Schizosaccharomyces pombe: one gene and its partners. Changing the gene in region 3 together with the main gene of any one other region gives a genetic interaction. Each region holds a gene or a part of one and is shown on either strand. Other genes may lie near its edges. The genes, in order: ubp11, SPOM_SPAC1F12.04C, php5 and min8.

Region 1 (6,627 bases), 1.7 Mb from region 3:
GAAGAGACGAAAAGAAAAGGAAAAGAAAATGCAATTCAGTAACTCTTTATTGACTGAGCAAAATTAGTAATATGAATTGAATTTGGATGAATCGTAAAATGGAGAAAGGATCCAACCTTCTAATATATTGCACGTTGTCGCTACGTGGCCAAGTTGCTGTAATTAGCAGTTTTGATTATGAGGTGTATGGAGGTGCAACACAAATAAGTAGTGCGGAAGTGTAGCTAGCTACGAATTCGTTAGTAGGGGAAGGCGTGAGGTTTGAGGTAGAACAAAGAAACTTGAAAATCGGCCACAATGAGATAACTTTCGGTAAGGGCAAGTAGGGGAAGGAGGGGGGGGTAAAGTGAAAAGGAAAATCAGAACAACAAGAAAACAAAGAAATGGTAAAGGATGAAGATGCAAAAGAGCAAAGAAAGGTTAGATAAGGGGATGTTTACTAAAACATAAAAAAGAAGAAAAGCAAAAAGATGAAGAATGGAAAAAAAGAAAACAAAAATTAGAAATGCAAAACAAAAAAATAAAGTAAAGCAAGGCAACGCAAGCCAAAGACAGAAAAGCAGAAAAGGTAAGGAAGTCGATCAATTTGTAAATGGCGCATTCATCAATATACCAAGTTGTCAGATTAGCAAATGTCAATGTACGGTACGATGGTAGCGGCGATCGCAGGGTAGACAGCGAGATAGCTGATAAAGAAGGGAATAAGTGGGGATATAGAAGGGGAGTGGAAAGAAAGGAAAGGAGGTGCGAAAAGGAGTTGTAAAGTAGGTTTGAAGGATATGAAAAGTTGGACTTCAAAAAAAAAAATTTGTTGATTAATTTTTACCACATCTTTCCATTGATGTCTTTGGGATGTACTTGCGGATAGACGAGAATAGATTTTAACAATTAAGAGATAGGCGAGAGTTGACGAAAACATAAGACGAAATTTTACAATTGACAATCAAGGAGAATACAATCGACACTAGAAATCGACAATCGACAATCGACAATTAACGTTTGACAATCAACGTCCGACGATTGAACAATTTCATTTCTACTAATCAACCCAATTTCTCTTTGTCTTTTCTTTTTTCTCCTATTTCCTATTTCCTATCTCTGTTTTACTTTTCTTTTTTTCTATCATTTGTCTTTCTTTCTTTCTTATGGATCTCCTTCATGCGACGAGACCATGACTTTGGCATGAGTTCTACTTTGCTTTGCTCACGCAACTCTCACATATCACATATCCTCACTCATGCGCTTCTTATTTTCCAGACCTCCATGTGTTCTTCGCATGCGCACCTTTCTTTGTTTACACTCGGCGTGCACAAGTCTTTCTCTACCTATGAGCTTTGCTATTCTCATCCTTCTTTTACCCTTACGATTCTTGACCTTTCTTATTAACGGTCGAGCCTCCGAACTCCTAACCACTACATCAACCATAGGCTACGCTTTTCATAAGCAACTTGACTGCTTGGAGCCCGGGTTTTCCTTACTGACCCCGCAATTCCACTACTGTATTGGATTGGCGGATGCTTTTTTTTTATTCAGCCAATGAAATGAATCAATTGCATCTGATTTGCAATTTACGCAATATAAACTGTCCATTCACATCAACTAACCAATCATACAACTGACATTTGCCGTGTCTGATATCGCTTCAACGTGTTCTTGGGTGACGTAAATTTTTCTCGAATGTAAACAATGCGACAAGCCCTTTTGTTTCTTTTCTTTGTCTGCAATCCCGTCCATATATACAGTCAGAGGCAACACCTAACATACTGACGGCAGACATCAAACACCGATGATGGATGGAGAAAAGAGATAACTTTTTGCTATGCTTCGTTGAATATATGCTTCATCAACTGCCCATCCTTTGCTAGTTTTTTTTTGCATTGGCAAATGAATTTATTATGGTTAATCATTCAAAAGTAAAATTCAAAAGTTATTGACATTACAAAAAGAATGTACCGCTTGTTCTCTTGTCATACCTTCAACGTCTTCCTTTTGTTCCTTCTCCCTTCTCCTTCCTTCTCTTTCCCTCTCCTTACTCTTCCTTCTTTCTCCTTCTTCCTCCCTATTCTTCCTCCACTTCACCTTCTTTCCTACTCGTCCTCCTTGTCCTCCCTCTCTTCTCCCTAACAAATCATGTTGCATCTCCCTAACTGGTATGCGGAGGGCTGCACAAATAAAACTTCATTCTTTTCCTTCTTCCACCAATCGTCGCTTTTACGCATCATTGCAACCCCTTGGGCTTGCCGGCAAATACAAACGTCGCTGCCAATGCAAAAAACCTTTTTTTCGTCTCATCAGGCGCATATTTATGCTGAGGGTTTGGCCCTCCTGTCCCTCTCTTCCAACCTGCTTTTTTTCTCTAAAGGTTGCTCTTTTATACACATATCTGATTGCAAATTATTTGCTTTGTGTCGTACTTGTGAATGAGTGAGCTTTCTCTGCAAAAACTTTAATACCTTTACTTTTATCTTAATTTCTCCATCAAAAAACAATCCATACCGACAAATCGGCACTGCCTCCCCATCGTCTAATCTTACCTTACAAAAAATCCTTCACACATAATCAAGTGAAAAAAATCTCCCATCTTTTTTGGATCCCTTTTTTTTTCTTCTTCGAAAAAACTTTTGTCTGTTTCTTATAGACGCCTCTTGCCTTTTTTCTTGTTCTTGATTCCATCGTAATTTATTCTCTTTGATAGGATCGCTATACTTTTTTTTTCTCTTTTCTTATTTTTTTTTTTTTAAATTGTGCTATTTCATTTCTCTACAATTACTTCCTAACGTTTTTTAATTTCTTTTTCTTTTTTATCCTTTCATATCTTATCGCCTATTTCATCTATTGCGATCGCTAAAATTGCAAAGGTAAAATCATTCTACCACTTTCAACTTTATCTATTTATTTATTGACTCCCTCCTCCCAAAAAGTAATATTTGTGTCTTTTGTCGCATTACTCGACAACATTCTAATTGCTGACACTTTTTTTGACAACTGTTTTTTTTTTTAAATTTGCCTTTGTAAAACTTTCAAACTTTTACTCATCCTATCACTGATTATTTCCTAAAAAGGTTGTTTTATGCTCAAAAAGTTTGGTTCTTATTACCTCGTCTCCCTAACTATACCTATATTGTACGTTATTATCGTGTCCTTTACCTCACCGCCATTGGACTCGTGTTATCGTTTATACCAATAAAGCTAGTAACAACAACCTAGTGGATATATGCTGTGACTTAACGCTCGTCTTCTATTCTTATTTCCCTTGCCAAAAAAAATTTGTTTTTATGCATAAATTTTTTTTTTCTTTTGTAAATTATATTCTCTGTTACCTCTAATAATTTCTTTTCCCTAATTCTTCATTGCATGCATTCATTATCATGTCTACAACGCCATTGTCCATTTCTAGGGCAAAAAAATACAAAACAGTTTTCAAGGGTGCCGCCATTTTAACTACGTTTGCTGCCCTTTACATCGTTACCTCTCCTTCCACTGGCAAGAGGTTGGTGAAAAACGCCTCCATCAAAGGCCTTTACAATGTTTCGGGTAACGATTGTTTCCTCAATTGTGTTTTGCAATCCCTAGCAAGTCAAGAATCATTATTGGAAATCCTAAAACTCCGTTGTTCTTCCTCTACCTTATACGCTACCCTTTATGAACTTCTGCAAAAATTAAATAGTGGCCCCGGTAATCCAATCACTCCCGGTTCCTTCCTCAATTCATTAGAGATTGCCACTAATAAAAAACTTGTTCGTTCCATTCAACAAGATGCACAAGAGTTTCTACAACATCTAGTGGAAACTTTGGAACTTCAAAAACCTCACACTTACAAATGGTCGAAGGTACTCTCCTTTCCTGTAGATTCGCCATTCATAGGAACTATGGAGCAAAAGGTACAATGTTGTCAATGCCTTGCCATTAGTATTAGTTATTCTACTGCCACATCGATACAGCTTTGTCTACCTCCGGAGTACAGTGGAAATTCTAACGTTTCCTTGCTCTCTTTAATGGAAGCCGATCGCGAACAGCACATCTCTGACTATAAATGTGACTCTTGCTTCAAATCCTCCCCAAAACATTCCAAAACTTCATGCATTCGTACCGTTGATTGGAAAAATCCTCCTACGATTTTGCAAATTCAACTTGAGAGAACATCATATACCTGCCAAGGTTTAACCAGAAATAATGTTTCTATCTCATTTCCTAGCAAACTTATCCTAAAAAACAAACATCATTATATTTTACGATCCTTAATCACCCATTCCGGAAGTGTTACTTATGGTCATTATCTTTGCTATAGACTTCAAGATGACATTTGGTGGAAGGCTAATGATTCTTTAATTACTAAATCATCTCTCAATGAAGCTCTCAGTCAAACTCGTTCAGCTTGTCTTTTGTTTTACGAAATGGAATCTCCTCTTGCGCTTGATTAGCGCATATATGCTAGTTAATCGTATACGTTTTTGTACCTTAATAAAAAATTCTTGATATTTCTCCTAATGATTCCGACTGATGTCACCCTTTATAAACTGTTGAAAGCTTCAAATTATAACCTGTTGTTTTGTAGCTAAAGCATTCAATACTAATATTTTGCAAAACTTGTGTATGAAAATATATGTATGTATGTATCCACCGTATCTGTCCATAAAATCGGTTTTCTTGACTTTAAGATTTTCAAGTGGACGATTTTTTATAGGCATGGTTAAAGTACACATGGCACTTTCAAACCGTCGCCAAATGACTTATAATTTACTAAAAAAAATTTTAGATATACTCATCATGTACAATTCACAGTTTTTAATGCATCAAATATCCAAAATGTTATTATTGTCATGGGTTATCCATTTAACCCCAGGACCTTCTAATTTCTCGAATTAAGCATAAGGACCTGCATATTACACCATTTTTAAGCCATTTCTCAAATTTTAAAAGTTATAATTCCGTTTTTCTCTTTTCATAGTCTGAAAACTCTAAAACTTAGCGTGCTTCGAACTGAACCATTCTCTTGGTTCTCATTTTGTACATAACACGATGCCCACACTCTCGACAACGAATAACTTCTTTCGCTTGGATTGTATTACGCGCTCCGCAATCTGATGGTCAGTCTTTTATCATATACTCATTTAATTCTACTCAATGATCATACCCGCACATAAATAAATCATAGTGGCTGGTCTGGGGGGATTGAAAGCGGTACCGCCAGTGGAGGTTGGATGATTCATTTTGTAAACTTTTTTAGTGTATTTGAGTCTAGTTAAATCCTGTGATTTTACTTCCTCACTTGAACTTTCTAATTGTGGTGGTGAGTAGTAGCGCGCAAATTTTTACTACCATACTATTCTCAATATTAACGCTTCAAAAAAAATTGGGAAGCTAATCTTATAATACATTAATGAGTTAAAAGTTCTCATTTAAAGTACTTCAAGTACATTTCCATTTATTGGATATATAAACTTCAAATATAATTTCGTATCTAATTTTGACGTTCTTTTAAATTTAACCTTTATTAAATCTAGCAAAAGAATAAAGGGCTGGATACATAATTTTAAATTTAAATCGATAAATAACTAGATTGTTTAATTTATATTTCATAACAATTATGTGTACGTGTGAGGATAAATACAATAGCTCAAAAATAATGTATTCCCCGAGTTCTCCAATTTTTAGTGTATAAATATACGATTTCTTTGTCTTGAAATTAGTCCTGGTAATTAGTTATATAAAGCATTCAGAAACACTGTATGCATTAAAGGGTAATTCCAATTGAAATAAGTGCCTTTTTTTGCAGAACTTTTATCGAGTAATATTAATTTTCCTTTCATTTTAAAAAAATAGTTTTGACTTCTAACCGCTTTTAGAAATTTAGAGGTTCCAGTAATAGAGAAATCAAGTATGAAACAACTTTAACGTTTATACTATTTCCTAATAAGCGATACATACATTTTTCGGTTACATTAGACTTTGACCATTCGAGGCTTTCCGGGAATCCCATTAACCTGGCGACTTCTCTGGCGGTAAAATACCGAAGTTGTAAAGCCATCCGGTTCCTCTCAAATTGCTCGTGCGTATTTTCATGATCTGACATCTGCAAAATTGAGCCTGCACCTTGTACTAAATGTGTATATCCCCGTGTAAAGCAACAGCAGGAAGAGCTATCTGGCTTAACTATATCAAACTGATGGCCCCATTTATTTAACACAGACTCTAGTACCATATATGAAGACCAATCTCTTTCTATCTCCAAATAATCTCTTATTCTTTTTACTTCGCCTTCTTTTTGCGCTACCTCGCTAAATTGAAAAACATCATCAATACTCCATTCTCCTTTGAAATTGAGCCTAGCCAATCCATACCATCTACTGCGAGAATTAGGAATGTTGAACTGGTTTGGACTCAAAATACCTTCAATTAGGTTGTAACCACAATTCCTCAAAACTTTCCTGCACTCTTCAGCTGCCTTGCTCTCCTCAAAACCCTGAACATTCTCAATTAGAATGTACTCAGGCAAATTATTTACATGAGGAAGCACATTTAAAATATTTAGAAATGCTTGGGAACGAGGATCAAGAATATCTTTACGGTTTCCTATTCTAGTAAAAGGTTGACAACTGGGACTCATAGTCCATAATTTACAGTCAA
Region 2 (4,971 bases), on a different chromosome or scaffold from region 3:
TTGAACATGATTATAAGCTAGCATAATTAATTATTATCAGAACAAAAACCCCTGTTCTAATCCTAATGAAATTTTGTGAAAACTAATTCACAAAACTATAAAATTTAGACATGATATCATGTTCCCAGTTAGAAACTCCCTTATAAGAACCCAAATTTGCATTTAGAACTTCTCAGAAACAAGACCGTCCTTGAAGAAGATCATGTAGGGAGTAATACCATCCTCACGGTAGTTCATTAAGACAACCATTGCGTCGGGATCCATGCTCTCACCAATGTAAAAGTCGTAGTCCTTGAAGTTAGCCAAAATCTTCTTGACGAATCCAATGGCATTCTTCTCGAAAACAGGAACACGCTCGGGGTTGCTTTCTTGAAGACGAGCCTTGATAGCCTTCATGTAACCCTTGATGTAAGACATATAGGACTTCTTGTCAAAAGAAGTAGGGCTTAAACGGAAAGAGTAAACAAGATTGTTTACAGTCTCAGTACCCTCTTCAGCATTCTCCTCAGCATCCTCGGCAGAAGGGTTGGCACCAATGTCAACATCACCACCTTGCTTGACAGTGACCATTTGGCAATCAGCCTCGTAGACAATATCGTCTACCTCCTTCAAGTCGTAGGCGTCAGAAACGAGTTCGTCTCCAGAAATAACGTCCTTGTACAACAACATGGTGATTGCAGATGGTAGCTCATAATTTGACTTCTCGCAGGTTTAATGAGATAAAGCAGTCACAGTTTAGGGCAGGGTTACTGGATTCTAGCCATCCGTATGGAATGCGGTTACGAACAGTATTCACTTTACGTAGTACAGCGTTGTTTTCGATAGATACATTTTGTTTACCAATTCCTTCATTTTTTTCAATTTGTCGTAGTCTGTTCTCCTTTCTTTTAAATAACAATATTCTTTATATTTTCAGATTTTTTTTTAGATGAAAATATCGTTGTACTCAGTCAGTAGTAAATTGTTTTATATTACTGAATCTGATTTTTTGAGTGAAACCATTATGATGCGTGTAAAATTAAGATTAAAGCTGGAATTAAAGTCCAAATGAATTCAACAATTGAACCATATTTAACAGTATGTGTATTAATCTCTATGTTCTTTAATCAACTTGTAACCATTTATGTCGCCTCAAATTTATTATTCGAGCTATTATCCGTCAATTCTTGAGTCGTAATTAGAACATTCTCAACAGTACTGAGCTTCAGAAGAAACCTAAAAAAGTAGTGCATTATAGTTGATAATAATTCCTTAACGTTTATATATGATATACTTAAAAGTATGATATCGTACATCCTCAATTTGAAATTGCAGGGCCATTAAAAACACTCGTTAATAAAGATATTCAGTTCAATTAGAAAAAAATGACAAGGTACATTTTGGTGACAAACAAAGAGTAACTTAATGTTTTCCGTTGATTAAATTTTCGATCAATATCCCAAAATTTAAAACGCTTTAATGGAATGGATTAACGATTAAAATCGACTTCATTTCTAAAACCTTTCAAGCTTTAAACCGATTCAGTCCCTTCATTTAGAATGGCATATTTCGATTTTTGCTGAAAAAACCAAGACGACTGTTACCACTTTTGTTTACTACTTTACTCACATAGACATTCGAGAAAACGAAAAATAGTTGAGCACGAATAGAATTACATGAAAAAAGTAACTTCTATTTAAATTTAAAAAGCTCATTCGTAACTAAGCTCTTTTATTGTGCAAAGAGAGGATTAGTTTTCTAGTTTGTACAATTGCGCTGAAAAGACCAAGAACTCCAATTTGGTGTTTGTGTAAACCAGCTCCATTTTCTACAGACCAGTGAATACACAAAGGAAGGCTAGCCAAGTTTGAAGCTAAGTCTAACTGATGCTCCTTTTCGTCTTCTGTTTTTTCACGCAAAAGCTGGTAAATGGTCAATAAAGTATCGAGAAGCCAAAATCTAGAAGACCAAAGCCATAATTTGTCTTCCAACGGTTTTGATATGGAAATAATCTGTTTGCCGCCTAAGAATGCCAATCCTTCTGTGACATAGTATCCAATATTGATTGCGTTACTCATGTAAGTTTCAGGAGAAGAATCTTTACGAAAATTTACGATTAATTTGTAGAGACCAGGAAGACGTAAAATACATCGAAATTCATTTAGCATAGAAACCAGTTGAGCAGTTGATTTCGAAGATGCTGGATCCAACCTCGCAACGTTGACAAGAATGGCAGCAATTTTGTCAATTCCGCTGGGATTTTGCAGCATCAGGTTTAAAGAATGCATATAAGACATATTTCTCAAAAAATTTCAGCTCTAAGATTTGGTCAATTATATTGTTCACGAAAGGTAGTCTAATTTTCGTATACTTTAGTAGAAAAGCGTAAAATCCAAAAAAATACTAAGTAGCGTATGTAAACGACTAAAATTACCAAATCCAAAGATTATTTGAATGACGATAGATGTCGGTTCGGCAACGTCTTATGGTATAGAGAGTGAGTGTGCTGCTATAGTCGATCGGATCAGCAAACGTTAGCTAGTCTGTTTAGTACACCAATAGATTTGATAAGAAAAATCTACAGTGCAGCAAAGTGAAATGTTATTTTATGAGTTGATCGATTTTACTTTTAGAATTACAAATGATAAGATATGATAACTTTCTCCAGTTATCACGTCGATTAGATCGCCGGAAATAACTCCGATATTGAGGAAAGTGTATTCAGTTGCAACAAACAGCTGTGACGGCTTCAAAGTATCGGCAAATCATTTTTTGCATGTGTTTTAAAAAAATAGTTCAGCAATAAAAAACATAAATTTGTTAGGCTTCTAGAGGCATATGCTTATTTATGTGTTATTTTTTTAATATTTATCATAACGTATTTTTTATTACAAATCCTTAGGTAGCAATATCTTAAGAATTAAACATACATATGTTCAAGGATAAAAGAAAGAAAAACTTGGAAACTGGGTTTATTTTTTCTATTCCTTTGTTCAGATACATATAAAACAGCTTAGTTACTATGGATTATTATCATATAGAATTATGATAACTGTTTAAAATAAATATTATTTGGAATAACGAGATTTGTTTAGGTCGGCTTGAGATACGCACAGCTACGTAAGATTGTAGATAACAAACTTTGAAAACCTTCGCATTCAGTGGCCTGGGGAGCATGCAGACTACACTTCCTATTCTTCCTTTGCAAAAACCTTCTCTTCTTACTACATTAGTATATTTTTCATAGGGAGGTGCTATATGCACTGTATTCATAGTTACGCTCTGCTTACAGTGAGCAAAGTATTTCTTTGGACGCTAAAAAAAGGCTCCTGTATATTGATTTGAGTAAATATTTTGGCATAGAAAAACACATTCAACGCTACTTAATTGTTTTTTCCATTTCGAACTACTATTGAGAGGAAGTTGTTTTTTCAATTGTTTTATATCATTTGAAAAAAATTGAAGCACAATTGCTTATCTTTGATCAAACGTTTAAGGAGTAAGCTCCAAATTCGATAATCCCTATTCCGTTCTACATAAAACCTGAGTTCATCTCTTGTGCTGTCGCTTTCAACCTCAGAAGCTGTTAAGGATATATATTAATTTAAAATTTTTACCAAAAAATATATTTCATTCTCTTCATAGCCGTTTTCTGTTTGTTTAATTTCAATCTCATATTAATTCTTCTGATCGGGCCCCCCTTTGTTCTTTAGATTCATTTTTTCCTACTCTTTCCTTTTAATATTTAATTCCTAAGTCATTAGCTGAACCGTCAAGATGCCTTCATTAGTCAGGAGATTTCAGCATGCTTCAACAGAAGAACAACCTTTCGAACTCAACATCCAGATGGAGTCTCCTCCTTTGGTAATGTATGGGAATCCAGATGTTTCTAGTGGAGCGTTAGCATCTGGACTTGCCAAGTTGACTGTATTTCCTGCAGATCTCAAATGCGAATCCATTGTCATGGAATTCGTCCGCATAATATCCACAAAGCGTCCTTTGCGCGACAGCTGTCCCGATTGCAAAGCTCAGGTTGAGGCTTTTGAGAAATGGGAGTTTTCTAAAGAACCTACCGTATATACTCATGGTACACATACTTGGCCATTCACTTTTATAATACCTGGACATTTTCCACAAACGACCAACTCACCATTCATAAACGTTACTTACATCCTAAAAACTCGCGTTAAGATTCCCAGTCAACCCGATTTTGTTTTTGAATATCCTTTAAACTTGAAACGCTCTATTGTCACTAATGCTGATAAAATTGCCCAGCGTCTCTTCCCCCCTACTTCGCTTATTGCTCTTTTAGAGCTGCCTCCTGTAATTCACCCTTTGAGTTGTGTTCCTGTTGAATTTCAGCTGACCGGTGTAAAACCTGAAAACTCCAAGGTTGGTTGGCGCTTAACGAAGATTTCGTGGAGAATAGAAGAACAGATAAAAGCTCAAATAAATGGTTGCTCGACCCATACTGGGACAAAAAAGCCATACATTTTCAAGGAGACTCGGCTGTTGGGAAATAATGAACATAAGTCTGGTTGGAAAGAAGATGGCGATAGAATTATCTTCGAGATCCCTATCAGTACATCTTTACTTTCAAAGCCTATTTGTGATGTTTCCTTTGATGGACAATTCTCTCTATATATTGCCCATCAACTAATTCTTGAGACTATAGTCGTCGAAGTGATGAACTCGCATCCCATAAACTCGAATGCCCGAATTTTAAGGATGAAGGTCAATTTACCTTTGACTGAACGAGGTGGTCTTGGTGTTAGTTGGGATGAGGAATGCCCCCCAATGTTCAATAGTGTTGGACCCAGTCCTCCTGCATATGAGCAAGTTGCTAGATCCTCTCCCACTGATATTCCACTACCTCCACCTTCATGTCCTACAAATGTTCAAAGAGATTGATTCGAATTTTAGTTTCTTCCGTCAATTTTGTTTTTTTATCTTTCTGTTTTAATTGGGCTTGTTTTTTCATTTCAAAGATTT
Region 3 (6,931 bases):
ATAAGGGGCTACTCGTTTCTCTGAAACAGCTTTCTGGATTTCGGAAACTAATAGCTTTAACAATCTCTTTCTAGGTCTATCCAAACCGCTTGCATCTGTTTCATTCATCCACTTTGTAGAATAATTAAAGGAAGGAGCAAAGAAAACTGCACTTGATAGGGCAAACAGTTCTCTCAATTCTTTGATAGTAAACGAGACAGAAAATATGTTTCTTCTTCCTACAATGTGTAATCTTTTTAAATTGCTTCTTTCAAGTGATTTGAGGAACAATGGATTAATGTCAGTTGGGGATAATTGAGCAGGATTACTTAAAAGGATTCGAGCTACATCAAGTGAAACATTACCATGTCCAATAACTACTGCATCCTCTACCTGACTTAAATCCAACTCAAGATTTTGATTTCTGGGATCACTGTTATACCAACCCACCACTTCTCGCGCACTATAAACACCTGACAAGTCCTCCCCTGGAATTCCCAGTCTCTTGTCCCCAGCAGCTCCATAGGCAAGGACCAAACAATCATAATTTTTAGTCAAATCCCGTAAAGAAACATCAGTCCCAACGTTTACGTTACCAAGGAAGCGAAATTGTGTAGACTCAGCAATTTCGGAAAACTTGTGTTCTACATGCTACAATAGAGGTTAGCTGTATAATAAATTTAATAAGATCCATTTTTAAACCAATCAATATTTCTTGGCTTAACAGACTTACCTTAACTTCTGGATGATCTGGGGCAACTCCATAACGTACAAGCCCAAATGGAACTGGGCGGGATTCAAACATATCTATTTTGACATTTGGGTCATTTCGTAAGAGTCTGTGGGCTGTGTAAAAAGCAGCCGGCCCAGAACCGATGATGCCGACTACAGGTGAAGAAGTTTGAGTGCTATATGTTCTTTTAATGAATCGTGATAGCATCCTTTCTTAGCCTTAAGATGAAAGAAAAACAAAAAATGATTGAAATGAAGAAGTGAAGGATATCTTCGTGATTGTAAATCTGATATAAAACTAGCAGCAATTATCATTAACAACTGGACTCTCCTCAAAACGAAAAGAAAAGCTACCAATGCTTAATAAAACTGATTCATTAGTTTTAAAGCTTTAAATGTTTAATCTCAATAAACTGTTTGGTGACACCTATACAACTAGTGAATTTTATAGCATTGGATGAGTGGTCAGGTTCAAGCAGCCAAGCCTTTTGAGAGCAAAGCATTTATATGATAAGATCAGTCAGTATTTAGAAAAAGGAAATTTCTTATTAAATCAAAGGTAATTACAAACAGGAAAGTTGAATCAAACGCTACAACAGAACTTTTGCTGATCGTTGCTTACGATATTACCAGCAACAAACATCTCATATAGTAAAGTGCAAACCTTCAAATAAGTGTTTTATGTTGTTATTATGAGTGACTTAAGCAGCTTCAAACTGATTTCTGCAATGATTTTTTTATGATATTTCAAATAACTAGTTAGATGATTGTGGCTCAAATGGTTAATTTGAAAACGATATATTTAAATTTCTTAAAAATAATTAATCTCTGCTTATTCAATCATACTTATTTATAAAGATGCTAAACCTAGCTACTTGAAAGTGTTTTCTAATTCCTACTATTATAATGATAAAACAAAAAATAAGAATTTATTACATTCAAAATAATTCTATTTATAAAGGTCAATTACTCTTTCACGTTTAAAGAACTGTTGTAAGACCAACAAATTGTAACGCGGTAAGCTTTATCTTTGCGAGGACTTTAAAAAGGCGTAAGATTCAATTAACAAGGATGTATTTTAATGTAATTCCTGGATTGAAGTCAATTACTATACGTATTTTCTATTCTGTTTGCTTTAATTACTGAATAATATTTGCACATGCTATTGTTTATAGTATTATATCTACTACCGCGAAAACATTAATTATGTATATCAAATAATGAATATTTACGTGTCGTTAAAGTGTTTTAGCAATTGTAGAAACAAAGTATGTGGTACTATAAACCGGTTCCATCAATAAGTTGTGTGACAGCCAACCATCTTCTGCCAGCCACCAATAAATTCAATCGTACCGATTTTCGCTATATTGAGTGTTTTTGCACTCTATATACTTAATTAAGCCAGGTGTAATACGCTACATAGATAATTCAAGACACTTCGACGAGTTAAGGTGCTTTACTAGTGTTCTTTATTGAAGTTCTTTGTTTTAAGAAGTTAATGTGTTAGAGATACGTTAGTAACTGCACTTGTTGCTTTGTCTTACTCATTCTACGAGTTTTTCGTGAATTAAGACGATTGGTATTTATCTTTTTAGATATTGCAACTAAGCCTCGTGTTTAGCCGTTCGTGTTCCTTTCGATTGTAAAACTTTTTATTTTTTTCTTTCCGTTCCACTCTTCAACTTGACGTCAATTTGTTTTACTTCCCTGTTTCGTCTCCTGCTCACCTCTCATATAAGTTTAATTCCCCATTTTACCGGAGACTACTCCGCTCCCTTTCTATTTTATTTCTACTTATCTTGGTTACGATTTTGTTAAGCTGTACATCAAGGTATTGGAAGTTTTCTTTAATCCGCATCTTTATCGCCTCTTAATATTTAGATTTTCGATTTGAAATTCTTTAGCTTAAATTATTGTCAGTTTCTTTAACAGCTTTGTTTTTAGGAAACTGGTATTTGTTAGATCCCGGCATAGTTACAATTTTTGTCATTGTCGTTTTTTTAAACCTGTCACCAGTGAGATTGCATTGATCTCTTATCTAATTGGCAAAGGCCTTTACGTTTCCAGTTTTCTTTTTAAACTAAATTGCCTTTCTGTAGACTTTTTTTCGTTTTTCAATTAAGATTCATTGCAAAATGAATTCTATTCCTGATTCCTATTCCTTGAAACAAGGCTTTCCCGAAGGTTTAGGAGAATATGTTGATCCCTCTGGCAATCCTAATTCTCAGGTACGGATAGGTTATGGTCAAGATTCTGTTTCTCGCTTCCAACAACCAGTCCCCGATGTTGATCCAACTGCTGTCAATCACTACAACGCTAGTGCACCCATTGAGGTTGCTAGTCCATTTGATAATGTTACTCAAGGTCTTGTTGGCAGTGATGCACAAGCCCTTGCTGAATATTGGCAAAAAACCATCGATACATTGGAACATGACGATCAAGCTGTAAAAACTCTGCATCTTCCCTTAGCTCGTATTAAGGTATGCCACTTTTTCTGAATTAATTACTAACTATTGATTATGCAGAAAGTTATGAAAACTGACGATGATGTGAAGGTACGTTACTTTGAGTATTCGAATACTTTTTGACATTAACTTTTACTAATTTTTTTAGAATAAAATGATCTCGGCAGAAGCTCCTTTTCTGTTCGCTAAAGGAAGTGAGATATTTATTGCAGAGCTTACTATGAGGGCTTGGCTTCATGCCAAAAAAAATCAACGAAGGACACTACAAAGATCCGATATTGCAAATGCAGTATCAAAATCTGAAATGTATGATTTCTTAATTGATATTATATCTAAAGATAACAATAATTCCCGCGCATCTTCCAGTCAAGCTCATATGTCTGCTACTCAAGTTGCTGCTATGGGTGGTATGAATGGTTTACAACCTTTCCCCACTCAAGCTGGCTTACCCAATCAAGGGTTTCCAATGCCAACTGGTAGTCAACTTCCATTTTCAAATCAACAGTCAAGTCAGCCTTCAATGCAGTATTCCTCTCATCCATCCAGAATGCAGCAAATGCAAGATATTGATCAATCTATGTATAAACAGCAGCGTCTGGGCTCTGAATATCCACAACTACAAATGTCAGATAACTCCGGAAATGTTAACCAGATGAATATGCAAAGACCGGTCATGGTAGCACCGTACATGGCTGAGCATTTATACCGTTATCCACCTACGCATCTCGAATCTGGATCCTCAGCTTTCCGATTGCAGTCATCCCCTATGGGATATCAAATGCCCCAATTTCAAGGTAATATGCGACCTAATATGCAACAGTCTCAAATGTTTGATCCTTCTGCATATGGTATGTCAAGAAGACCTGGATCTCCTCGGCAATTCGATCAGCAACAGAGACTTTATTCACAGCCAAACGCTATGATGTATCAAACTCAGCAAGGGCGTCAGGGAAACCCAATGCATCAGCAGTTTTCCCAGCAACAAAACCCTCTTTCTCGCTATTCGCAACAACCCCAGTAATATCTTTTAATACCTGTTGATTTAGAACATGCAATTTAAATAATTTCTATTAAATTATTTGGGAGGATCCAACAGTGATGCATTTTTAGGTGGAACTTTCAATTTGTCAATTTTCGGTTTATCTACAAAAGCTTAAAGAAACAGTTGATTTTCATGACATGCTATGTCTAGTCATTGTTACTTTTTTTAAGCTATGTGTGGTTTTATTTTTTTAGCAAGACCGAAAAAGAAATGACGGAAGCTTTTCATATTTGCTGCCTCTTTATTTTCCCATTGCGGGACTGCTAGTGTAGAGTATTTTGTTTTACTTAAACATATATATGCATTTGAAATTCATTGTCGATAACATTCTACCTATTATGGATATTTACGGGTTGTCAATGTAAATAAATGATGGCATGTTGCAATCGGTTACCAAGAAGCAATTAGCTTTAAACAACGTTTAGGTTTACTTTATAATTAAATTTATTCGTATATGTACTTGAAAATTTGCACTTTTGATGATTTTTTAATTTAAAATCTCATAAATTTTAACTTCTATGTAAAAAGGTATTTAGGCTCATTATGCAAGGAAATTACAGCTGCTTTCATTCCCGACTGCATAAAAAACCACCATTCCACGGCCACCATACTCGAGGTAAAAATGAGTACGGCGGTGCGAGGCAGTTTAATTTACTCCTTCACCAGAACTACGCAGTTGATTATGAACAACAGATAGGCAGAAAGAGGAGAAACAAATTATTCTTATACTAAAGCTTAGAATTCTTTAATCTACCCCCAAACAACAACGAATGGCATCTACTAGCTTTTAAGCAACTTCTGTTCTGCAGAAAAAAACTACGTAAAAAAAGTTGCTAAAACTATCAGTTGCGACATCGCTGCTAACAAATTATCGACTAAACTTGTCGATAATAACGAATTCCCCTAGTAAGCCAAACATAACATTGAGAGGAAACGTAACGATTAAATATTAATTCAAAAAATGGTCCATGTGACTGCTTTTTTAACCGATTCGAGATAATCAGTTTTCATCAATTTAGACGACGATTTCGGCCATCAGAAATAAATCTGTGGATAAAAAGGAACCCCTTATATATCGCTAAAACCGTGACGACAAAACAGAAGTCTTTGGTTTACCACTTGTCCTTAACTGACTGCCTCTTTCATTTTCAACATCAAAATGCCTTCCATCTTATTACTTGGTTCGGGATTTGTCGCTCATCCTACTTTAGAATATTTATCTCGTCGTAAAGAAAATAATATAACCGTAGCATGCAGAACTCTTTCTAAGGCTGAAGCATTTATTAATGGTATCCCAAACAGCAAAGCCATTGCTTTGGATGTCAATGATGAAGCAGCTCTTGAGAAAGCTGTTTCCGAACATGATCTTACCATCAGCTTGATTCCTTACACTTATCATGCAACAGTTATGAAAGCTGCCATTAAGCATGGTAAACACGTTTGTACCACCAGTTATGTGAATCCCAAAATGGCTGAGTTGGAGGAAGCTGCCATCAAGGCTGGTTCTATTTGTATGAACGAAATCGGCGTCGATCCCGGTATTGATCATTTATATGCTATCAAGACCATTGAAGAGGTTCATAAAGCTGGCGGTAAGATTAAGTCTTTCTTGTCTTATTGTGGAGGTCTTCCCGCTCCCGAGGACTCCAACAATCCTTTAGGATACAAGTTTTCTTGGTCTTCTCGTGGTGTTTTGTTGGCTCTTCGCAACTCTGCCAAGTTTTATGAAAACGGCAAACTTGTTGAAATTGACGGCAAGGATTTGATGGAAACTGCTAAACCCTATTTCATCTATCCCGGTTACGCTTTCGTTTGTTATCCTAATCGTGATTCCACTGTCTACCAAGAGCGCTATCAAATACCTGAAGCAGAAACTATCATTCGCGGTACTTTACGTTACCAAGGATTTCCCGAGTTTATTCATTGTTTGGTTGATATGGGATTTTTGGATGAGACAGCTCAGGAATACTTATCTCCTGAAGCACCCGCTTTGCCTTGGAAGGAGGTTACTGCTCGTGTCATCAAGGCTGAATCTTCCTCCGAAGCCGACCTAATCAAGAAAATTTCTTCCATCCACAAATTCAAAGATGAAGACGACAAGAAGCGCATTTTGAATGGTTTGAAGTGGCTTGGTATGTTCTCTAGCAAACCCGTTACTCCTCGTGGTAATCCTTTGGACACCTTATGCGCTACCTTGGAGGAACTTATGCAATACGAAGAAGGTGAACGTGATATGTTAATCCTTCAACACAAGTTTGAAGTTGAAACCAAAGAAGGAAAACGCCAAACTCGTACTTGCACTTTGCTTGACTACGGTGTTCCTAATGGCTACACCTCTATGGCAAAATTAGTCGGCGTTCCTTGTGGTGTTGCTACTCAGCAAATTCTTGATGGTGTTATTAACACCCCAGGTGTTTTGGCTCCTAATGATATGAAGCTTTGCGGTCCATTGATTGATACACTTGCCAAAGAAGGTATTCGATTGGAGGAAGAAATTATTGACGAAGAGTAAGCATGTTTCACGCTTTGGTTCCAAACTCTTATATATAAGTTTGACATTTTAGAACACCAAAGCTTCTTCATTTTCTATAATTATTCGTAATCTTAGAGTTCGTCAACCTTTTTTTTGGCAATTTATCTACATGTTCATAAGTATAAATGTTCAGTTTGTTTTGCAACCTTATTTATGTGAAGCTTTACTTGGGGTTTTCGT
Region 4 (6,126 bases), on a different chromosome or scaffold from region 3:
AACCCGCTAATACGAATCTGCAGTTTGCAAAACGTAAACAGATTCTGCAAATGGGTAAAAGAAAAGCAAAAGCAAAAGTGAAACCCAAAAGAAGGGCACCCCCATTAGATACGACTGTGAGTTATAGTTTAATTACGAAATTTACTAACTTTACTAGTTTACGTGCCTATTTTGCAACCACGAAAAAAGTGTGAGCTGTAGTCTGTATGCTTATTAACTACTTTCATTTTTTTTAACACTTTGATAGTGATAAACAATCAGGAGTTGGAAATCTACACTGCAAAATTTGTGGTCAGAGTCATCAATGTCTAATTACAGGTATGAAAGAGGTGTTTTATTTCAATAGCGGCACGTAAATTATTACGATTAATATTGCGGTTAATTTCTTTTATATCGTCTCTTTATCTTCTTATTTCTTGTTCTTTTATGAAATTTTCTTGTACACTTATTTACTAACATTATCAAGCTCTTTCGGCACCCATCGACGTATACAGCGACTGGATTGATGCTTGTGATGCTGTTGCAAATCAAGCTAAAGAGGTTGATAATATAAATGATCAAGAAGCCTATTCCCCTGAAGCAGCTTATGAGGAAGAAAAGGAATGATTTTTTGCTATTGGCCTAACTTGCAAAAGGAAGATTCTTTTCAGAGCTTAAATGTTGAAAGTTTCCGTTCATTTATGGTGATCTTATTTTCGTTGATGCTCAGTCGTTTCAATTAAGAGATTTCTCTGAAGCGATAAGAAGGTATTAACTACATTGCAATGAACAAGACGCTGTATTTGGCAAAACCGGACGAGCTTAGTGTATACAAATCTAGGCATGCTCTTGTATATATTTGTCCTTTTTAAAGACGTCGAACATACGAATTTCGAGATTCCATCTGATGAACCGACAATTGGACGATAGTGTTAAGCTTATTTGTTGGTATTCGGATGTACCATCAATATGGGTGTGATATCTTGCTCATTGGCAAGATAGCCATTTCATTGCTTTGTTTTTGGTTTGGTAGAATCGCTGTTCACTATGACAGGCTAAGAATTACGAGTGCCTAGAGTGTGGTTGACTTCGACCTTGTACTTATTGTATTCTCCATGTACAAAAAATGTCTAGAATGAAAGAGATATGAAAATATGTTCATGTGTTCTTACTGCATTTGATTTAAAAATCCTTACAATACAACTCATTTCTTGGTTTCTTGTGAATACAGTTGGATGAATTGAGAATTACAAGTAAAAAACATTGAAATCCAATTAAGATTGTAAGCTGCATGGAGTCCAATTGTATGAATGTGTGCTTCAAAAATTTGTACTGTCTTTCTCATTCTTAAATATAAGCAGTAATTCATTTAAAAACATCAACTTGCCCTAAAATATGTTCAATAGTTAATTGATATTCTTATTTAATTTTGCCAAGCCTGCTAGAGTAGAAATCTTTTACTGCGCTAAGTAACGCATTAATCATAATTATGTTATTATGAAATGATGTTGTAAATCTTTATTTATGTTTAACGAAATATACTAAGGTTGATAAAACTCATTTTGCTATTGATAGCTTAAAAGCAAATGTGTTATTGTGCTTTTACTTTTTACCATTTACTTGGTAAACAACTTGATAGGTAGATATTTAAGCATACATCGTCAAAAAGATGTCGCTGGTACCTGAGCATGGAAATGTGTACGTACTAAATCAGACAAATCAATTAAAAGGGTTGTTTACCATCATTCGTGATAAAACGAAACCTCGTGTATGCGCGTTCAGTTTACAACAGATTACTGAGTCAAGGTCTAAGAACTAATTGAAATGAATGTGTTAATATGTCCAAGAAATTTTAGCTTTTTCCTCTATTAATGGGGAGATAAATGTTTATCAGTGGATGATAGGAAGCATTCATTATCAGTTAGTACATTCGACAACTTCTCGTGTATTCTTTGTTGAATCTGTTATCCCTGCTAACATGATATTTAGTCTGAATTTATTTTTTATGCCAATAGAATCATTCGTTTAATTGTTGAAGAGGGCCTCAACCACTTGCCAGTGTCTTCAGCTAAGGTAACGACTGCTCAAAATGCTGAATACGAGGGTGTAATGTTTGATGGTCGTATTTGCGGCGTTAGCATTATGAGAGCTGGCGAAAGTATGGAACAAGGATTGCGTGAATGCTGTCGTTCTGTTCGTATTGGAAAAATTTTGATACAGCGTGATGAGGAAACTCATAAACCTGTGTTACACTACATCAAGCTTCCCGAAGATATTTCTAAACGCTATGTCTTACTTTTGGACCCCATGCTAGCCACTGGTGGCTCTGCTATTTGTGCTATGGAAATTCTTATCAACATGGGTTGCAAACAAGAACAAATCATTTTCCTCAATGTAATTGCCTCGCCTGAAGGGTTGAAAAATGTTCACGATCGTTTCCCCAATATACGTATAGTTACCGCCGTAATTGATGAGGGACTCGACAACAATGGGTATGTGCACGATACACTACAAGTGTTCATGAGGTCAATACAAAGTTGATCGCTATTTCATTCATGAATAATCTTTAACACATATGATTTAGATACATTGTTCCAGGTCTTGGCGATTTTGGAGACATTTACTTTGGAACGAAGGCCTAAAGTTGCTTTGAAAATTTGCTCAATTAAACACACAACCACGCACTAAACATTAAAAGACTAATTTTAACAGCACTTAATGAAATTGCGGTTTCTTAACTTTTGTCTCTTCTTTTTGTTGTGTTTGTGCTACCCAACTTGGTGAGCGTCGAATCTGTAAATATAGGTCAGTGGCCGTTGTTTAAATAGTAATAGAAGTTTGGAAATAATTGTACATACTTCAGGATCAGAATAAATCTTATATCCCATGGTAAATATTGCAGTGGACCCAGCAATTCCAATGAGGATTGCTAAAATTCGTTAGTGATTTGACAAATTCGGTTTTCTCAGTAACTAACCCAGAGGTTTGAGCTCAAAAGGAAGCCTTTGAAAGGCCCTGTAAGGTTTCATAATTCTTGATAAAACTGCCATTTGTACACTTAATAGTTAAGCATTCAAAGTCTTCTCTTCAACTTATATTGGGTTGCCCTTCCTCCTGGTCTCGTCATTATTGCTTTACTTTGGCCACACTTATGTAAAGTGGTATATTGACGAACTAACGAGGCATATTAATATATCATAACAAACGGGGTTGCTTACTGTGCGCTAAGAGTACTGTGTGTGTTGATAAAATTGCTCAATCGATGGTGTTGCAATGTAAATAATCAATTTCTAAAATGACGACGAAACAGTTATCGCAGATGGGGAATTTTTTTTCCGCGTATTACAAATGTTGTATTACTCTTTTTGTCTATCATGCTTTATGAAGTTACTGTTGAAGTTTTTTGCCTGTTATTCGTTCTTTAGCACTTGCTTATCTCAAGTGGCAGCTTGTCCTTTCGTGGAAGTAGGAATCAAAAATGAACAGAAGATTTATAAATAGCATTCAACTCAAATTTAAAAAAAAAAAAAAAAAAAAAAAAGAACTCACCTTCTTATAATATTTTAAGTTTATTTACAGAATGATTGCAGCTTTTGCAAAGTACTTCATACAGTCTTTCCATGCATGTAAAAAAACCCTAGGAGGTATTGAATTCTAAATAAATTCATTGATCCTGACTTTTATTTAGGTATTCATAAATGATTACAGTATAAATAAATGCCGGAATGGAAGGAATATAACTGGATAAAAAAAAGAAGAAATTGGTTAAGCTTAAAAAAAATTTACAAGTTTATAAATAAAAAGGTATATATATTCACAACCTGTGTAAATCTAGCTAGTTTCGCATATAACCAAAAAGTTGAAATAAGTAAGGGTAGATCGTTATTAAGGATAATATTTTTATTGAAGGAAGCCTGAAGATGATTTAACAACTTGAGCGGAGCGGCGAGCATCTAAGAAAAGATCGTTACATTCTTCGATATCTTGTACACCAATCTCTTTGTTACCATGCAAACTGGCAATAATGCTAACGGGTGTCAACAGTTGTATAACATAACGGAGACTAGTACGAGAACCTTCTTGAGCCAGCTTGTCCAAACACTCATCAGTAAGGATGATGTTTTCAACTTTTGCACGTATCTGCAAAATGGAACGAATTTCTGACTCTGAATAGGGGAGTGTGCGAACTATTAGTAATCTGTCAAGCAAATCCGTAGGAATACCATGGGGAGCTTGAATATCCTCAGTACCCCGAATGGTACAAATGCCTCGATTAGAGGCAAAGATAACAATAGGAGAAATAGTGCTTTCTAGGGCTTGGTTGAGATAAGTAAAGCACTCAATGTCTAACATATGAACCTCGTCGATGAACAAGACACCAGGAATAAGTTCAGCGATTCCTTGTTCGATATATTTGTTGACAACCTTGTTAATTTCACCACGAAGCTTATCGGTGATTTCAGTTTTCTTGGGCTTCATTAACTGACCCATCATAGACATTATATCTTGTCCTCCTTGAGGGCGGGCATTGGCAATATCCAAATCATGAAGAGTCACGTCCTGAACAATTTCTTTCCGCTTGTGTACCTCACCTTTAGGCATAGGAACATATTCTTCCGCTTCTAAATCGAACTCCGTAGCATACGCATCGCTACGACCCACTCTCTTTACGGCACCTGTATTGGCTTCTATGTAAATAACGTCCCCGGTTGACACTTGTTCTCTTTGTAAAGATTCGTAAATGCTAGGATCTAATTTGAGCTGTTTGGTACCCTTATGCGTTTTGAGGCCCAAAAGGACGTGTGAAATGGTTTTTCCATAACCGCCCAAAGGATTTTCGGCTTCTTCGGGAACCATTTCTGTAACCTCACCCTCATACACTTCTTTTGTTTCCTTTACCCGAAGACCAATGGCCCTTCGAAAGTTTTCCATTAAAGCCTCAGTTTTCTTTATTTCACTAGAGTAGACTTCACTTCCCACCATAGGACAAAAAGGAACTTTAGGACCAAGTTCTTGGGCAATCGCCAAGGCCAGTGCTGTTTTACCAGTACCAGCACCTCCAGCGAACAATACACCTTTACCACCAAATTTTTTAGACTTGATTAAATCAGTGATGATGCCACAAGCCTAAGAAAATATATTAGAATACATTATATTAAAGAATTATCAGGAATGCTTACCTCACGAGCCTTTTCTTGTCCAATGAAACCTCCACCAACAGATTCACAAGTTCCATCTTCTTTTAGGCCTAAACCTTTGATATGTGAATGTGTAGTAATCCTATTATCACGGCCATTTCCCTTAACCTCGCTGATTTGGACCATTTTATAAGTAGTTGGTTGAGGATAGCTTGCTTTCAAAATGTGACATTAGGGTTGGGTGTAGCAAAATAGTACCAAGTTAAATAAGAAGAAAGTAGAGCTGAGGTAATGAAAAAGACAGGAAATGAAATAATAAAGCAAAGAGGTGTATTCTTTCTTTAAAAAAAAAAATTAAACAGAAATTAACAATCGATTTTTGAGGAATTCTATTTTACTGTATATGATGCAAAAAAAATAGTAACTAAAACTGTTATAACGAGTACTTAAGTAATAAACGCAAATACATCTAAATGTTTTCAAAAAGTTATTCTTGATTTATTAATGAATTATAATTTTCTTATTTACATACATCCCATATGTTGATTAACTACCATCCTAGAATAGCGATATATATTTAAATAAATACGGTGAGCATAAAAACGAATAAAAAAAAAAATATATATATATATATATTGAAAACTTGTTTGGATTGCTTAATCCGATGCTACTACTGTTTCGCTGATTTTTTCTTCTGCTTTTTTTATTTTTAATCTCCGGGCAATCTGTAATCCTTCGATAGGTTTTGTAGTGCTTAAACGCTCGCTCATTTAAGATACAATAAAACATAATTTTATTAGCGACAGATAAATAAATGAATATAAACGGTAATAACTTGGGAATCATTTGTTTACATCTCAATTTTCTCATGTACCAGGAAAATACCCGCAATTCCGTCTAGCAACAGCGAATTAATGTTTATCAATAAATTTAAACTTAACCTGCCACACATCGTGATCCATCAAAAGATTGGTAAGGAAATTTCCTAATTTCACAATCTTTTTTCGCC

Evidence for each region.
Region 1: mutations in php5 (region 3) and ubp11 together harm fitness more than expected from each alone (negative genetic interaction), as found in Schizosaccharomyces pombe (one large-scale study listed by BioGRID).
Region 2: mutations in php5 (region 3) and SPOM_SPAC1F12.04C together harm fitness less than expected from each alone (positive genetic interaction), as found in Schizosaccharomyces pombe (one large-scale study listed by BioGRID).
Region 4: mutations in php5 (region 3) and min8 together harm fitness less than expected from each alone (positive genetic interaction), as found in Schizosaccharomyces pombe (one large-scale study listed by BioGRID).

Annotation. Positions count from the first base shown.
Region 1 is NC_003423.3:1,674,318-1,680,944, reverse strand, and holds ubp11 (ubiquitin hydrolase Ubp11), read left to right. Parts: upstream 1-2,340; 5' UTR 2,341-3,368; coding exon 3,369-4,421; 3' UTR 4,422-4,593; downstream 4,594-6,627. Other genes in the region: DNA-directed RNA polymerase subunit Rpc10, read right to left, coding at 4,966-5,081, 5,135-5,210; pmt1 (DNA methyltransferase), read right to left, coding at 5,843-6,627.
Region 2 is NC_003424.3:3,809,366-3,814,336, forward strand, and holds SPOM_SPAC1F12.04C (uncharacterized protein), read right to left. Parts: upstream 2,485-4,971; 5' UTR 2,277-2,484; coding exon 1,701-2,276; downstream 1-1,700. Other genes in the region: tma19 (translationally-controlled tumor protein), read right to left, coding at 163-669; arrestin-related substrate adaptor Any2, read left to right, coding at 3,757-4,890.
Region 3 is NC_003423.3:3,391,616-3,398,546, reverse strand, and holds php5 (CCAAT-binding factor complex histone fold subunit Php5), read left to right. Parts: upstream 1-2,040; 5' UTR 2,041-2,846; coding exon 2,847-3,191; exon of another isoform or gene 3,192-3,236; coding exon 3,237-3,266; exon of another isoform or gene 3,267-3,324; coding exon 3,325-4,197; 3' UTR 4,198-4,643; downstream 4,644-6,931. Other genes in the region: mitochondrial [2Fe-2S] cluster assembly NADPH-ferredoxin reductase Arh1, read right to left, coding at 1-630, 713-919; lys9 (saccharopine dehydrogenase), read left to right, coding at 5,378-6,730. UniProt on the Schizosaccharomyces pombe protein: Component of the CCAAT-bound heteromer, php5 is essential for DNA-binding activity. It is essential for transcription activation of cyc1. It is the linchpin that binds to the subunit association domains (SAD) of php2 and php3 to bring these proteins together.
Region 4 is NC_003424.3:4,923,441-4,929,566, reverse strand, and holds min8 (protein Min8), read right to left. Parts: upstream 3,030-6,126; coding exon 2,957-3,029; exon of another isoform or gene 2,909-2,956; coding exon 2,838-2,908; exon of another isoform or gene 2,773-2,837; coding exon 2,695-2,772; 3' UTR 2,622-2,694; coding exon of another isoform or gene 2,564-2,621; 3' UTR 2,472-2,563; coding exon of another isoform or gene 1,969-2,471; 3' UTR 1,748-1,968; coding exon of another isoform or gene 1,649-1,747; 3' UTR 1,429-1,648; downstream 1-1,428. Other genes in the region: SPOM_SPAC1B3.02C (Elf1 family transcription elongation factor), read left to right, coding at 51-116, 158-204, 248-318, 467-606; SPOM_SPAC1B3.01C (uracil phosphoribosyltransferase), read left to right, coding at 1,649-1,747, 1,969-2,471, 2,564-2,621; chaperone, AAA family ATPase Rvb1, read right to left, coding at 3,880-5,106, 5,160-5,303; SPOM_SPAPB8E5.08 (uncharacterized protein), read right to left, coding at 5,676-5,987.